Linked DNA regions of Drosophila melanogaster. The protein of the gene in region 2 interacts with the protein of the main gene of each other region in a pairwise test. Each region holds a gene or a part of one and is shown on either strand. Other genes may lie near its edges.

Region 1 (3,688 bases), on a different chromosome or scaffold from region 2:
TGTGCTCGTGTGAGGGTCATATGCCTGGATATAGTGGCTGCGGTCATGGACATGCTGGACATCCAGGGAGACGTCATTGGTCCTGCTGTGGAAATGTCCTTGAGAACTCGGAATGCAATGTGGCCAACAAACTGCTTAATTCTTAAGTAATTGATTAGGATGCAGGGCTATAAAACGAATAAATTAACATATAGCCAGGTTTCGCCATTTTGTTTGTTCATCTTGTGAAATTTCAAAGATCTTGTAGTTTATACGCACGCGCAGATAGACAACAAGGATACTTCAAAATAAACGTTTTTCTACCTGCAAAATACATGCATTCCAACAGACCCGACAGTCCATTTACAATGTGCACACAATAATCTCAGATTGCTAAGGCTACAAAATCCCTTTCGACCTCTGGAATTACCAATTGAATTCTCCTTATTACCATATGGTCAGCATATGCGCGTCATATCCTGACCGTTGAGCAACAAGTCGCAAATAAAAGTTACTTATATAGGCTCCAGCAGAATAAAGGTTTTTTTTATTTATTGAAAATGGTTATCATAAATACAGACACTGACTCTGGACATTTATGGAAAAAAGTCCGATGCCTTAAGAGTTGGTTGGGTGGTTTTGAAAGCGCCTGCAAGGAGCTATAATTCTAAGTGGGTAATTTTTCGTTAAATGTATAATCGTTCTTTTTCGCTTTCGATGATCCAACTGTTTAATCTTCATTATCAGAGTACCAGGATAGGCGCTCTTCGTAGAAGTGGATTACCATTCGTGGGATTTTTTCATTGGCCACTGAGGAGGGCACCATTTCTGCTTGGTCCACGCCTTTGAACTGAATGAGGAATGTCAGGCGGCCATTATTGTCGGAGGCACCCAAGATCTTTTCGGCCTCCAGGCCGCGATCGAATCCGGTAGATCCTGAAACGGGAATGGTGTCCTGCTCCGCATCTGTGGTACGTTTTGATTTATTGCCAGAGGGCGCTAAATAAATAAAATAAAAACAAGTAATTAATACAGTGCAATTTTTTAATAGATGCATTTTTTTATTGCAAAGACCATCTTTTTCTTGCGCATGCCATTCTTGCGAAGGACAAAATTTGAGATACATATGTGAATACAGTTTTGACGAAAAGGGCAAATAAATGCCAGTGGATATTGTAGGTGATGACTATTGTTATACCAATTTGTGTACAGAAAATATTTGTAGGTACACTCAATTCCATAGCTTACCTGTTGGTTCTTCGGACTTTCGCTTGCTTGCTGTGGACGTCGAACTGCTGGCGCGTCCTTGAGTTTCCTTGGCCTTGGCGCTGCTGCTGGGTCGATCCTTCTTGGAGGCGGCTGACTTCTCCTACGGACCGAAACGAGATGTAAAGGAAATCCTAGCAAGCACAACTGTACTTGGCATCGCATTGTACTTCACTTACCTCATCCTTGCGGCTCGCCTCGTACTGCTGGATAAGATCCTGGCAGTCGAGATTGTTCTCCGGCTCCCACGTGTTCTCAGTTTCGGGATAGCCCTTCCATTTCAGATAGTACTCCACCTGCAGGTGGAAAATGGCGTTTTAGGACCAAATATAATGGGACGTCTGGTTCGGAAAACTCACCTTTCCCTTGCGCACCCGCCTGTCGATGATCTTTTCCACGGCGTACTCCTCCTCCTCCTCTTCGGCATCGGAAACCTTTGCCGAGCTCTCAGGGTTGTCGATTTTCTTGCCCATTTTGTTTTTATTAAAATACTTCACACGACAAAAAATAAGGAAAGAATTAGCACAACCGCACACAACCGCACACACACGCAAAGTACGAAAGGAAAGTACGATTTTTAGTCGACTCTCTTTGCTTTCATGGCTCACCTAGATTAAATAAGATCTACACTTTATGCACGCAGCTAAATTGGTTTTTATAAGCCTGTGTGTTGGCGCTAGAAGACTTTCCACAAAATGAAAAATCTGCAAAAAAATGCGCGTTCTAAAATGACGCCGGCCGAACAGTGTGCGAAAGTACGCGTGGACTGCTAAGACTACGCTTATCTATTTTCCGATAGATTTGCACATCGTATTAATTTCATTTTAAGTCTAGAAAAATGTTAACACTAAGAACTATCTAAATTTTACAACATAACTATAATAATAACGTAACTAACTGATCGCCAATATCTGTTTTTAAAAATTTTGTAATAAATCGATGAATCGATTAAGGAATCCGTTGTACCACAACTATTATCGACGCGTTTCACAGCACTGAATAAGTTGCGCGAATATTCACGAATTTTTTGACAATTTGCGTTTTGTTTCTTCTGTTTTACGGAAATTCTATAAAAATGCCCAAAACAAAGAAGAAGGATTCGTCCTCAGATAGCGATAGCGGTCCAGATGATGTAAGTTAACTAGAAATACACCAAAACTAGGTATAACAAGTTAAAACCTCTTTCAGCGTATCAAGCCGGCAAGCAAGAAGGCGAAGGAATCTGATGCTCCAAATTCAGATCCAAAAGATTCGGGCGAAAATGGTGCTACATCTTGGACCCTGGAAGGACTTCGCCAGGTGCGAATCAACGAGTTCCGCGGTCGCAAATCGGTGGACATTCGAGAGTTCTACGATAAGGGCGGCCAAATTCTTCCCGGCAAGAAGGGCATCTCCCTATCTTTAATTCAATGGAAGAAACTCCTTGAAGTGGCCGAAGAAGTCACCCGCGCGATCGAGAATTAATTGAAGTTCATCCACATGCCAAACTAAGTCGTAGCCATATGTACTAACTATAGACATATCCACTGAATAAACGTTATCTTAAACACTAGTAATTGAAAATCTGTATTTTCACAGTTGCTGAAGCATTAATGAATGACCAACTTAATTGCCTGATAGGTATTTTCCTTATCTGCTTTGTGGTGGGACTACAAAAAGCACACATATACATAAATGAATGAATCCTTTATTGGACGTCATATGTACATAGATTTGTACATTGATAGCATTTGATATAGATATGAATATTAAAAATAGATGCCCAGAATGGTGAAGATGGACAGGAGAATGGCAAACGGCAGCCAGGTCTTAATAAAACCCCCTATTCCGACGTAGCGGCCGCAGACAAAGAGCCACATGCTGAGGATAATCATGTTCCATGCGGTGCTGTCGTAGTAGCGCATGTAGATGAGTGCCGTTGCCACATGCGAGTGGCAGTTGTCACAGAAGATATTGTGGATGCGGGTGCCGTAGAGCACAGATGCTTTGGAGACCGCCTCGTCCCAGGCGTAACTGCCGCCCACCATGTGCTTGGGGTGCAACCTTATGTACCGGGTGGGTCTTCCAAAGGCCATGTTGTCCTCTGATACGAAGTAGGGGCCGGCGAAGTCACGAATCACACCGGACGAAGTGCAAATGCCCATATGTCCGATCATGGGCATCAGCCAGGTGAGAACCGGAATGGGAGTCCAAACGATGCAGTAGGGGAAGCGTTGGTCCTTTACGTTGATCGGAGGCAGTCTATCCGGAACGCCATTGCCGGCTCCTCCTCCGGAACTGGCCATCGAGATCTGAACGTCCTCGGACTGTTGCCGCTGCGGACTTGGGTTTGTCGACATTATTACACTGTATTAGGTTGATATTTGTGCGGGGAAGCCACAAGAACAGTCACTCACGGTCTTCCCGGCCGTAATGCCCATGAAACGAGTCGCTAACAATTCCA
Region 2 (9,607 bases):
ATAAACAAGAAGTTGACTTTGCTTTTTTTCTCCATTTATTTAGCGTTTTATATAGCCTACTTATCTGCGTTCTTCCCAAAATTTGCAGAATTTATAAACGACTCCACTCCAAAAGTCCCAAAATAACAAGTCAGTTCTTGCGGTTTTAATTGTAAAAAATGCAATACAATTTGTTTTTTTTTTTCGTTTAGTTTTTGTTTTGTATTTAAATCATAAAAACAATTTTACGATGTATCAGATTTGCCTTTAGTTATTATAATATATAAAGGTATACCCTATTAGTTGCTTTTTTAATGCCTGATTCTGCTATAGATGCACAATACTCGCAAGCGAATCGTGTGTTTTCATATTATATACATACTCGACAACAAAATTCAATAAAATAAATTAAGTTAGGTATGTATTTCATGTTGGTACTAATTAGTTTCGGTTTGATCAACGGACACGGGAAGAATGGAGCTGTGGGACAAGAAGGAGCAGTGTGAAGAGGCCTAATAAAGATGATGCTGCCACTTTTGCCGCTGATGTTGTTCTTAAAAGTAGAACCATTCGGATCCTAACTAAATTCTACTTCTTTGCCACCTGGCTGTCCAGAACGGGTGTGATTGTCTTGCCTCCGAAGATCTGACCCCAGCCAATCAAACTGAGGAGAAAAAATACATCATTAAGTTGTGATTTCAAATACAATTTAAGGGGGGCTGTATACTCACCGCCAATGGTTCTCCACACGTCTGCTGAGTGCAATCTTCTCGCCCTTCTCCGTGCACACAGGCGTCGTAAGAACGATCTTGGCCAAATCACCTTTGGTGGCCGAGATGCGGCCACCAGTGCTGAGGGATCCGATATTAACCAACAGGATTTCGTTCTTCTGCAGCTTCTCAACGCGCGCTCCCTTCTTGTCACCATCGGTACGGACGCCGAGAAGGCGACGCAGCAGGTAATACGAGATTTCCAGCTCCTGGTAGATGTCCGGCAGCTGGCCAACGGCGCCTAGCACCTGACCGACCAAACGATCGGCACGGCACAGCGTAGGATCGATCTTGGTGCCCACACCAATCAGACCGCCGGGCACGGCGTACTGCAGCTCATTCTGTTCGGCGAAGAGCGAGACGATACGGGAGAAGATTGGACGGCAGGTGATGTTGCCATCGCTATCCTTGGTCACAACGCCCGGACGCACCTCGATCTCTTGGCCTACCTTCAGCACGCCGCTCAGAATGGAGCCACCGGCCACACCGCCCTTAAGGTCTGCCACCTCACAGCCTGGCTTGTTCACGTCGAAGGATCGGATGACGATCAGACGGGGCGGGGCATTGAAGTCACGCGGCGGCACTGGTATCTTGTTCACAATGTACTCGCAGAGCACATCGATGTTGTACTTAAGCTGGGCCGAGATCGGAATGATCGGAGCGCCCTCAGCTACGGTGCCCTGGACGAATTTGGTGATCTCCTCGTACTGCTCTTTCGCCTGGCTCTCCTTGATCAGATCGATCTTGTTTTGCAAGATCAGAATCTGTTTCAGCTTCATAATCTCAATGGCGGCCAAATGCTCAGAGGTTTGCGGTTGTGGACAGGATTCATTGCCTGCACATGGAATAGGTAGTAATTTGTATATCTTTTGTCGGTTCAGAGAGATCCAGGGTTACTCACCAGCAATGAGCAGCAGAGCAGCGTCCATCACAGCAGCACCGTTCAACATGGTAGCCATAAGAATGTCGTGACCGGGGCAATCCACGAAGCTCACATGTCGCACCAGTCTGAAGTTGCCGGAGCAGTTGAGCCGAGTGCAGGGCAAGCTGTCGTCCTTGCTGGATGCATCCGATACGAAGCTGGCCGGGCGCGGGCACTTGGGGTTGTCACACTTGTAGATTTTGGCGTTGGCATAACCTAAAAGCAATGCGATAATAATTATGAAGAATATTACAATACATTCTTCGAACTCCTGGCCTGGCAAACACGTAAAATAATCCTTCGTTCTTCACAAGGAATTAAGTGCTATTGCTAACTAAATTCATTTCTTTGATCCTTCCAGATCATTTATACAGCCACAAACAAACATCACTTAATAATCGTAAAATATTTATTGTAAAATAATAATTTGCACTTAATGCGGTAATAATTTCAGCACATTACAAGGTTGTTTGTCAAAACACTAAGTTATTACTAAATTAAAATTTAAGTTTATGAAATGTATACAAGTACAAACTATATAGAATTACTCGTTTTATCCTCTAGTAATATAGATCCTCAAACATAATATAGATCCAATATATCGATATTAGCATTTATTAACAAATAAATAATTAAAACGTCGGAATATAAAATCCAACTAGTAATATATATATATGTTAACAAAAAAAAAAAAGGTTCAATGCAATGATGTCTCAGGTGGGTAACGGCGTGCCATTTAAATATAGTACTTCAAGTCCATTCAAAAGAGGACCTTTCTGCAATTATCAGCTCCGCAGCGGCACTCGACACGCACAGCTGTCGAGAGGTTCTCGTAGGGCACATCTTCGTTGTCCGCGCGAATGTAGTCGAAGCTCAACTCCTCGCCCGCCTTGATTGGACGCAGTGTGAAGAACACGAGGTGCGGCAGCGCGACATTCAGGTGCTCGATCCAACAGGGGAACACGGCGAGATTAGGATCGCAAGAGTGATTGATAAAGTGCGAGATGTTGCCATAGTTAGCTGCATCGATAGTGTACTCGCTATCCTGAGCTGTGTTGTAATCCAAGTCGAACAGATATGTCCTCCCATTGTCGTCATACGCCTTGCCGCGCTCATTTGCCTCATCGCTGGTGATGATCTCTCCAATGTACTCGCACACAAATTCACCCTTACGCAAGGCAGTTGCGGCTCGCACCCCCCATCCGCTGCCGTTGGCGGTCTTAAACAGCACCAACGGTACCTGGCGTCCGTGCTGCACCAGACGGTTGGAGCAGCTTGAATCGCACGAGCAGCGGCTATTGCACTCATAGATGGCACTTCCGGGACGAAGGCGCAAGCGCCGTGTGCTTCGCTCGTAGGCGAACAGCTCGCCGGCGAAGCGGGCACAACACTTCGTAGAGGCAGTACACTCCTCTGTGTCTTCAGTGCACTTACAGCCCACAATCCCCGCTTCCGGCTTGGGCACATCCTTGCCGATTATGTTATCATGTATGTACATGAAATTGCTGTCTATGGTGTCCAGATCAATGTTGTTCTCAACACGTATTGGCGGTGACGGTTTCTCCACATGATTCATGCGCTTCTCGAACAATGCTAGATCAGCCAACTGCTTGCGTCGTACAAATTGGGCCCGCTTGATTTGCATGCTTTTCAGGGCTCGTTCTCCAATTTTCTGCGGTTCCCTTTGGCTTCGACTGCCAGCAGCGCGATATTGGGCGAGCAGTATAAGATCGATCTGCAGATTGAGTGGCTCATAGGCGTCTACTTCGGCCACCGTAATGTTCTCCATTAGTGGCAATGCCTCCAGCTGCTTCTCAAGCTCAGTGGTTATCTTGGCTATGTATATCTCGTAGAGCTGCTGATGCCGCTCCACAAACTTCTCCATTTCGGCGCAGTCGGCCACGTTGGCAAGACTTTCCCAGGTGTTCTCGCTATCATGGTATCCCAGCCATTTGACGAAGAAGACTGGCTGATATTGATCCATCTCGACGCATTCAATACGCTCCACAACGTACTCTCCTTTGGGCGGCCTTTTGGCAATTACTCCCATGTTATTTTTCGACCGCTTGGAGTTGGGAGTTGGGGCGCCCACACAACTGCTGCGTCGACGCTTCAGTTTGGCGAATCCGTTGAGACTGGGTATTTTGTCCACATCATGTTCCTCGCAGCCAAAAACGCTGCCATAGCCGCTACTATTGCTTGGACTCAGTGAGGTCTGACTGGTGCTTCGCCGGGTGGTGCGTCTATCTACACTGGAGGTGGATGCTGGCATGGAAGACGAAGCTGGCTTGGTGCAGAGGCGGCGGAATCGGCTATGTCGCCGCAATTCGGCCAGGTGGCGCAGCATTGAACGCTGTTTGATTTCATACTGCTGTCGCTGCTGCTTGGAGGTCAAAAGATTTTTGATTTTTTTTTCGCTCAAGCGTTCTGCAAATGACAAGTTTTGGACAATTGTGGATTGGATGATGGGTTTGGTGTGTTTTTTTTTTTATTTGGCGGACGCGTCGCAACCGAAAAAATCGTAAAAACAAGAGAAATAGGGAAAAAGAAGAAAAAGATTGGCAATTAATTAAATTGCTGGATCAGTCGTATCAATCAATGTAACAGATTCAAGACTAAGCTAACAGGAAGATATGCTTAATACCAATCTTTGGGAACGCTTTTTAATTCAGCTTTGTAAAGTACAACATTCTAAAGACAACTTCTTTTATCATTTTAGACTACTTAGGCGACGACACAAGGCAACGCGTGCTAATCCAGCAATTTAAGTTAACAAAATACACAAGAATTCGAATTACAAGAGACAATCATTCGCAGAACCCTTTTACAACATTATCTCGATGTAAAGCAGCGACAGAGTTGGCTACGCGGTGTGCCGTCGCGATACGGTGTTAAAAAGTGGTTCTTAAGATAATTATGGGTTATTTTCGGCCAGCCGAGAAGGTTTACAATCTTAGGGCACTACGGGGTTTACGGGCGAGCAGGAAGAATTAACATACGGCTAAATTATTATCAAGTAGAATAATACATCTTAAGATTATATGCTTAGGCTAGCTTACACGGATCCCTGACTCACCCAGCTTGATTGTGATGTTGCGCTCCAGTTCGTTCTTGAAGCGCACAGTCTGCACGCCGGATATGGCTTTGACCACCGTGGATTTGCCGTGAGCCACATGACCGATGGTGCCGATGTTGATGGTCGCCTGTCGGGAGATGACCTCCGGTGATAGAGGCGTTAGTTTAGAGACGTCCTGCAAGATTCCAAATGCAATACGATAAATAAAGGCGCTTTAATAGAGGAAAATCAGAGCACAAGTCTTGTTTACCGCCGCCACACCCCCTAACAAAACATCCCCTCTCAGATGCATGTGTGTATATAGGAAAGCCGTCAATTTTGAGGTTAGAATGTCGCTTGAATTGCATCAACTCAAAATTGATGACAACAGTCAGGTAGTCCTCGCGAAACTGATCTGCTTGCCAGAGCCCAAATACCGCCAGAGTCCGCATCATGCCCATATGCAGAGCCAAAGTTGCGGGATAAACCAAACAGACCCTAAATGTAGCGCCACGTGCTGCATTTTCACCGTGATCTCTCACCCACAACAAATCACTGCTGGCCCTGGCGAAACCCACTGGTATATCCCTCGAAATTGGTCCGCGAACCGTTCGAGACAATCTGGGCGCGTCCTTGCGACCCGCACCCCGCTGTTTTTCCGGGAAGCGGCTCCATAATGACGACGCGTATACTTTCACACACGGGCGGAAAAAAAGGGAAGGCGGCGTCTGGCGGTCGTCTTTGCTGGCTGCTTACCAAGTTGCTGAGGTCCTGCTTCTGCAAGTTCCTGTTCACACCGATCTGGGCTTCAGCCGTGGCCATGTTGCTGATGTTTTCAAAAACGATGCGTATGCAAAATGAAAATAATAATTTTCAGCTATTACAGCTCGGCATCAAATCTCGATATCGAAGAACGATTGGACCCGACAATGCCTATCGATAGTGCTCTAATCATGGTTGGCCAGTGTTGGACACGTCACACCGGTGCCCAACTGCGATGCGTATCGATAGAGTGCCGCCCTATCGATACACTTACAGTTCTTCAGCCGCAAACGAAAGGTTAAAAATCCGCTTCGCTTCTCTTCTGCTCAACTGTACCGCCGCTTTTTGTTCAAATATCTCGGGAATTACGAGCGTACACACAACGGAAGAGCGTGCAGAATGTCGAGCGTGCCAAAGCGAGCCAAGCTGGACGGCGCCCCCGCCGATGGCAACACATCCGCCGCCGCCGGTAACAACGAGGAGGAGTCGGAGGCGTTGGAGCAAATTGATGCCTGCCAGAACGAGATCGATGCGCTGAACGAGAAGGCCAGCGAGGAGATCCTCAAGGTGGAGCAGAAGTACAACAAGCTGCGGAAGCCCTGCTACGAGAAGCGCAGCGAGCTGGTCAAGCGCATCCCCAACTTTTGGGTGACCTCGGTGAGTACTTCGATCCGCGGCCATGTTTGTCCCCTCCGCGTGTTCGTCTGATGGGTTCTAGTGGAGCCGACTAGATCTTTCGAAGCCCTGAAGTGATGGTAATCGCTGCACACATGTACAAGAAATTTTCTCTATTCGAGGCATTTTTTCTTGTTCATCTTTGGGCTGCAATGCCGACACCACCGGCTCCCCGCGCATTTTCCCCCTCCCGGAAAAATCGTGCTATCGATATATCCGTCTGGCCGGGAAATACACAACATAGCACAGTTCAAAATGGCTTCAAATCAAAAACCACTGAAATATTTGCTGCCATAATTGAAAAGAAAAGTAGTGCCATAGGGGCCATAAACATGGCTTTCTGCTTGATAGCATGCATCCCCTAGCTAATCCCAACTGCCATATTTGCAGTTTATCAACCACCCGCAAGTATCCGGCATTCTGGACGAGGAGGAGGAGGAGTGCCTGCACGCGCTCAACAAACTTGAGGTTGAGGAGTTTGAGGACATCAAATCGGGTTACCGCATCAACTTCCATTTCGACGAGAATCCTTACTTCGAAAACAAGGTGCTCACCAAAGAGTTCCACCTGAATTCAGCGGGTAAGTTCTCCCAACGATTGATTCAAATCCGCTTAGCTAACCCATTACTATTTCAATTAAAGCTGCTTCCGAGAACGGAGACTGGCCCGCGTCTACCAGCACGCCCATCAAATGGAAGGAGGGAAAGAACCTGCTAAAACTTTTGCTGACAAAGCCGTACGGAAACAAGAAGAAGCGCAACTCCGAATACAAAACCTTCTTCGATTGGTTCTCGGATAACACCGATCCCGTCAACGACGAGATCGCAGAACTGATAAAAGACGACCTTTGGCCAAATCCACTGCAGTATTATCTGGTACCTGATATCGAGGTGGAGCCCGAGGACGAGGAGGACAACGAAGATAATGATGAGGAGGCATTTGACGACGAGGACGGTGAGGATGGAGAAGGCGAGGAAGAGGAAGAGGATGAGGGTAAGCTAATGGAGTGCCTTTTGAACAGAAGGAATTTACTAACCACCTAACCAACCATTTTAGATGACAAGTAAACTGATTAATGCAATTTCAAATCGCTCGCAACCGAAGGCCCACATTGTTTATAACCACTGGCAACTATAGTTTTCCCGATGGTTATGCAACATTTACATATTCGCAACGATTTAAGGACATATTTAGGTTTCGAAATAAGCAAAAGTCATACATCCATTAAAGAGCAGCAGAAAATGAGAATCACCATTAAATTAATTTAAAACAAATAAAAAGACGTAAATCGAATCTCAAGCCGTGTCTTTTTATGTAAGTAAAGAATTACCAAAGTATTCAATTCGATGTTTATAAAATAATTTATTACTTTATTAATTAATATTTATTAATTAATTAATTATTTAATAGCAAATTAGAGGTGTTACTATTAAGGTAGATTTTGGGTACCCAGAAATACCTATCTTTTAATATATCCTTTAAGAATTACTTTAAAGTCAGAATATCATTTTTAAAATGAAAATTCGCTTTTATTTAACTAGCTAGTATAAATCTTAAAATCTAGCTATTTTTTGTAATCGATAACTGTCCTGCAACCCTTACGCCATTCAAAACAACCCTGCCACACGTCGAGTAGCAAGTAACGTAGCCCTGGTCACAGCTGAGATTTTTAGCTGAAAAATTGTCGGGATAAAAACGATGGCCTCTATTAACAAATTGGCACTTTTGGTATGTTATAATGCGAATAAATAGAAAAAAGTGAACAAGCTCCGGTCAATGCCAAGCCATTTTAAGTGCATGTCAAATTTTTATTGCGTTTGCAACCCGCTGTCGCATATGTAGAATTATCTAACGCGCGTTTCTTGGTTATGTAATTTTTGCCCATCTTAACCCACGAACCGCGGGTAGTTTATGTTTAATAAGCCGAAAAACTTACCAAGTGCTCTTGTTTGCTTATCCCGCAGAGCCGCACCCTCAGCTCCGCTGCCGCCCAGGCGACGGTGAAGCCACCAGTGCAGGTGTTCGGTCTGGAGGGTCGCTATGCTACCGCCCTGTATTCGGCTGCCTCCAAGTTGAGCCAGTTGGATCAGGTGGAGAAGGATCTGACGGCCCTGCAGGCCACCATCCGTAGCGACAAGAAGCTGCGCGAGTACGTGACCAGCCCCATCATCAACAAGAAGGTCATGGCCACCGCTCTGAAGGAGGCATCCGAGAAGCTCCGCTTCGCCCCGGCCACCGTCAATCTGTTGGGTCTGCTGGCTGACAACGGACGTCTAAAGAAGCTGGACACCGTGATCAATGCCTACAAGACCATCATGGCCGCACATCGCGGTGAGGTCGTCTGCGAGGTGGTCACCGCCAAGCCCTTGGATGCGTCCCAGAGCAAGCAGCTGGAGGGTGCCCTTAAGGTAGCTACGCCTAGCTTCTGTCTTGTCTCACCCACTCAATTTATTGCTCATTTGCTTTGCAGTCTTTCCTGAAGGGCAACGAGTCTCTGAAGATCACTTCCCGCGTGGACCCCAGCATCATTGGTGGCCTGATCGTTTCCATTGGCGACAAGTACGTCGACATGAGCATTGCCACTAAGGTCAAGCTCTACACCGATGTCATCCAGACCGCTGCCTAGACTCTTAAGGATTTGCTCTTGATTTAGATGGTCAAACTGAAAGTTTGGTATTGGAATTCAAGCGGTAATAGCGAATAAAACACTCTTCACCCTTTGAAAACCAACAAAATTTATTCAGAGATATGCGCACTAGATTTGGTTTATGATTTAGATATATTTTTAGGATCCGGTATATCTGTGCACTGCAGCTCCGCAACCTTGTGCTGGATTGTCTGCTGCAGAAGGCTGTGCTGCTCCAGCAGATTCTCCAGCTCCTTGATGCGAGATCTCTGCAGTTCCAGAACCTTGGTGAAGTTACTCGTGGCCGGGGACTCAAGCCAGTTGATTAGAAAACTATTATGTTGCTCTTTATTATCGTTGGCGTTTTGTTGAGCATCAAAATTACTCTTCGTCTTGCTATCTAGTGTACTCGCATCCTGCCCTGGGTTGGGGCTGCAATCATTCAAAGGACTCTCCTCCAGGACCAGAACATTGGTCTCGTTCGAGGATCGACAAACTCTGTAATTGGGCTTGTCGATTTCCGGGAACACAGCTCGCTCATCATTTTCGGTCAGATCGGACTCTTGAACGCAAATCTCTGGAGGCGGCGCCATGGGACGTTGCTTCGCCGGAGAGCAGCACCCATCTTCATAGTCATTATTCCGGGTGCCGTTCATAAGCAGCACGTTGATTGCATTTGAAGTTCTTCTCTCGCCGCCGCCACAAGTAAAGTTATTCGAATTATTGGTGTATCCGCCAGATAAACCTGTCGCTGAGCTTCCAGTTTGATGGCTGAACGAGCCGGTCATCTTGGTTCGCCTAACAGGCGAAGAGCTCTG
Region 3 (3,169 bases), on a different chromosome or scaffold from region 2:
TCGCAAATCGACTGGTGGAAAGGCGCCACGCAAACAACTGGCTACTAAGGCCGCTCGCAAGAGTGCTCCAGCCACCGGAGGTGTGAAGAAGCCCCACCGCTATCGCCCTGGAACCGTGGCCTTGCGTGAAATTCGTCGCTACCAAAAGAGCACCGAGCTTCTAATCCGCAAGCTGCCTTTCCAGCGTCTGGTGCGTGAAATCGCTCAGGACTTTAAGACGGACTTGCGATTCCAGAGCTCGGCGGTTATGGCTCTGCAGGAAGCTAGCGAAGCCTACCTGGTTGGTCTCTTCGAAGATACCAACTTGTGTGCCATTCATGCCAAGCGTGTCACCATAATGCCCAAAGACATCCAGTTAGCGCGACGCATTCGCGGCGAGCGTGCTTAAGCTGACACGGCATTAACTTGCAGATAAAGCGCTAGCGTACTCTATAATCGGTCCTTTTCAGGACCACAAACCAGATTCAATGAGATAAAATTTTCTGTTGCCGACTATTTATAACTTTAAAAAAAAAATAAGAACAAAATTCATATTCTATTATTTATGGCGCAAACGGTACTGGGTCTTAAATCATATGTAAAAATACTAATTCTGCCAGAGAAGGAATAAAAATAATCTTATTTTAATTGTAAGCTCGACATTTATTAAATTAAAGAAGAGGTTAATAAATATAAAATATATATAAAAATATATATTTTTATTTGTTCTTTGTGCGAACATCCTTTAAAGCAGTGAAAGTGTCGTGCGGGGAAAGGGACTCTGAACCTTAAACATCTAAAAAAAAATCTGAATTCTGTGTAAGACAGTTTGAAATTAATGAAATTACATTGATGACGGCAATATTTATAAAATAACAGAAAATAATAAAATAAAACTAGCTATTTTATATTTTTTCCATGTGTTAACTGAAGAATGTGTTATTATTGAAGAGGTCGTACGGGACAATTGACACTGTCCCTTCAAACGTCTGTAAAAAATAAAACCTATGTAAAATTCAGCACGGAAATTGGCTAATTTTGTTGCGGAATGTAATATATATTACATAATAAAGGATAATACAAAAATTGTTTCTTTTTATTTTTTATTTGATTTATTTATTTGACTACATAGACGGTAATGCATATGTGGCGAGGAAATCGATTGATTTCAGAACAAATTATTTTAAAATATGCATGAAAACACATTAATAACAAGCAAACACATTAATAATTTAAGAAAATATTATTTATTATATTAATATTATGTTATTTAAGAAAGTATCTGTATTTTTAACGATCGAAAATTATTTCTGAATGCTGCTTTAAAGCAAATTTTTCTGTAGTTCAATGTGAACTTAAATCAAGTAATAAAGTATCTTAATTAATAATAGACGCTTCTTTCAGAAGCCCTTCTAGGGGATGAACGTTTCAATTTTAATAAACATTACGAATTAGTGAAATATTTGCAATGATTCTTATTTTATTAGATGTTTTTTTATAAATTGGTCCAGTTAAAAATTTGAATATAAAAATTCAATCAACATTTGAAAGTCTCAAAACCCATATTACATCCTTTTAAAAATGGAAAGTGACGAAAAAATTATTTAAAAGTGTAGAACTATTAAAACCTTATTTTTATTAATGATTTAAAATACTAAAAAATTAAAAAAAGTTTACACTTCAAGCAAACTTCGACATAGTAAATGACTGATGTCAGTAGCATTGTTAAAGTGCTCTCCTCCTCGATTCTCATCAGAGCAAAGGAGGTTGGTAGGCAGCGCGCGAGCCATTTTTAACAGAAAAAAAGTGTTCTCAGTGAAAAAAAGATGTCTGATTCTGCAGTTGCAACGTCCGCTTCCCCAGTGGCTGCCCCACCAGCGACAGTTGAGAAGAAAGTGGTCCAAAAAAAGGCATCTGGATCTGCTGGCACAAAGGCAAAGAAAGCCTCTGCGACGCCGTCACATCCGCCAACTCAGCAAATGGTGGACGCTTCCATTAAAAATTTAAAGGAACGTGGCGGTTCATCACTTCTGGCAATCAAAAAATATATCACTGCCACTTATAAATGCGACGCCCAAAAGTTAGCGCCATTCATCAAGAAGTACTTAAAATCGGCCGTGGTCAATGGAAAGCTTATCCAAACTAAGGGAAAGGGTGCATCTGGATCTTTCAAACTGTCGGCCTCTGCCAAGAAGGAAAAGGATCCGAAGGCAAAGTCGAAGGTTTTGTCTGCTGAGAAAAAAGTTCAAAGCAAGAAGGTAGCCTCTAAGAAGATTGGTGTCTCCTCTAAAAAAACTGCCGTTGGGGCTGCTGACAAAAAGCCCAAAGCTAAGAAGGCTGTGGCTACCAAAAAGACTGCCGAAAATAAGAAAACTGAGAAGGCAAAAGCCAAGGATGCCAAGAAAACTGGAATCATAAAGTCGAAGCCCGCCGCAACAAAGGCGAAAGTGACTGCAGCGAAGCCAAAGGCTGTAGTAGCGAAAGCGTCAAAGGCAAAGCCAGCGGTGTCTGCAAAACCCAAAAAGACGGTGAAGAAAGCATCGGTTTCTGCTACCGCCAAGAAGCCGAAAGCGAAGACTACGGCTGCCAAAAAGTAAATTGTGAAAAAGTGCAGTATTTGGTACATGTTCGCAATTAAAATTTTAGATTTATGATTTATAGATCTGAAATTTGTTTAAACAAGTCCTTTTCAGGGCTACAACGTTCCGTTGCAAGAGAAAAAAACTTTTATTTTCTTCCACTTATTTATTAGCTGACGTTCGCAGCAACAATAAAACGTTTCATGTCATGAATTACATTGCATGTTGGTCGCATTCAGTTTTCGTTCCCGATTTTTTTGTATTTATTTGAACATTACCCAATTACCCATATTGCGGGTAAATAAGTTTTATTTGTAAATTCATATTCGATGATTGGTAGTTGAAAAATGCATTTCTTTGGTATAACACATTGTGGCCTTGAAAAGGGCCGTTTTGGATTATTGTCCGCATTCGCAGGAGAAAATTATTTAGAGCTGGTGTACTTGGTGACAGCCTTGGTTCCCTCACTGACAGCATGCTTGGCCAACTCTCCAGGCAAAAGCAGGCGAACAGCCGTTTGGATCTCCCGACTGGTGATGGTCGAGCGCTTGTTGTAGTGAGCTAGACGAGACGCTTCGGCAGCAATTCGCTCGAAAATATCATTTACAAAG

Evidence for each region.
Region 1: the proteins of Su(var)3-9 (region 2) and Su(var)205 interact in binary tests that used the Drosophila melanogaster proteins (3 or more experiments, as listed by UniProt).
Region 3: the proteins of Su(var)3-9 (region 2) and His1:CG31617 interact in binary tests that used the Drosophila melanogaster proteins (3 or more experiments, as listed by UniProt).

The regions. Positions count from the first base shown.
Region 1 is NT_033779.5:8,209,126-8,212,813, forward strand, and holds Su(var)205 (suppressor of variegation 205), read right to left. Parts: upstream 1,998-3,688; 5' UTR 1,719-1,997; coding exon 1,605-1,718; intron 1,542-1,604; coding exon 1,425-1,541; intron 1,349-1,424; coding exon 1,228-1,348; intron 979-1,227; coding exon 710-978; 3' UTR 501-709; downstream 1-500. Other genes in the region: CG8419 (uncharacterized protein), read left to right, coding at 1-146; Ssb-c31a (single stranded-binding protein c31A), read left to right, coding at 2,321-2,377, 2,434-2,709; CG8372 (uncharacterized protein), read right to left, coding at 2,994-3,584. UniProt on the Drosophila melanogaster protein: Structural component of heterochromatin, involved in gene repression and the modification of position-effect-variegation. Recognizes and binds histone H3 tails methylated at 'Lys-9', leading to epigenetic repression.
Region 2 is NT_033777.3:15,257,800-15,267,406, forward strand, and holds Su(var)3-9 (suppressor of variegation 3-9), read right to left. Parts: upstream 5,660-9,607; 5' UTR 5,549-5,659; coding exon 5,483-5,548; intron 5,139-5,482; exon of another isoform or gene 5,040-5,138; coding exon of another isoform or gene 4,998-5,039; intron 4,923-4,997; coding exon 4,748-4,922; intron 4,099-4,747; coding exon 2,432-4,098; 3' UTR 2,065-2,431; downstream 1-2,064. Other genes in the region: eIF2gamma (eukaryotic translation initiation factor 2 subunit gamma), read right to left, coding at 568-643, 711-1,584, 1,651-1,887, 4,748-4,922, 5,483-5,548; Set, read left to right, coding at 5,888-6,145, 6,554-6,743, 6,806-7,156, 7,220-7,230; ATPsynO (ATP synthase, oligomycin sensitivity conferring protein), read left to right, coding at 7,862-7,891, 8,128-8,571, 8,634-8,789; CG14864 (uncharacterized protein), read right to left, coding at 8,930-9,607. UniProt on the Drosophila melanogaster protein: Histone methyltransferase that specifically trimethylates 'Lys-9' of histone H3 using monomethylated H3 'Lys-9' as substrate.
Region 3 is NT_033779.5:21,420,209-21,423,377, forward strand, and holds His1:CG31617 (histone H1), read left to right. Parts: upstream 1-1,646; 5' UTR 1,647-1,805; coding exon 1,806-2,576; 3' UTR 2,577-2,669; downstream 2,670-3,169. Other genes in the region: His3:CG33803 (histone H3), read left to right, coding at 1-388; His2B:CG17949 (histone H2B), read right to left, coding at 2,983-3,169. UniProt on the Drosophila melanogaster protein: Histones H1 are necessary for the condensation of nucleosome chains into higher-order structures.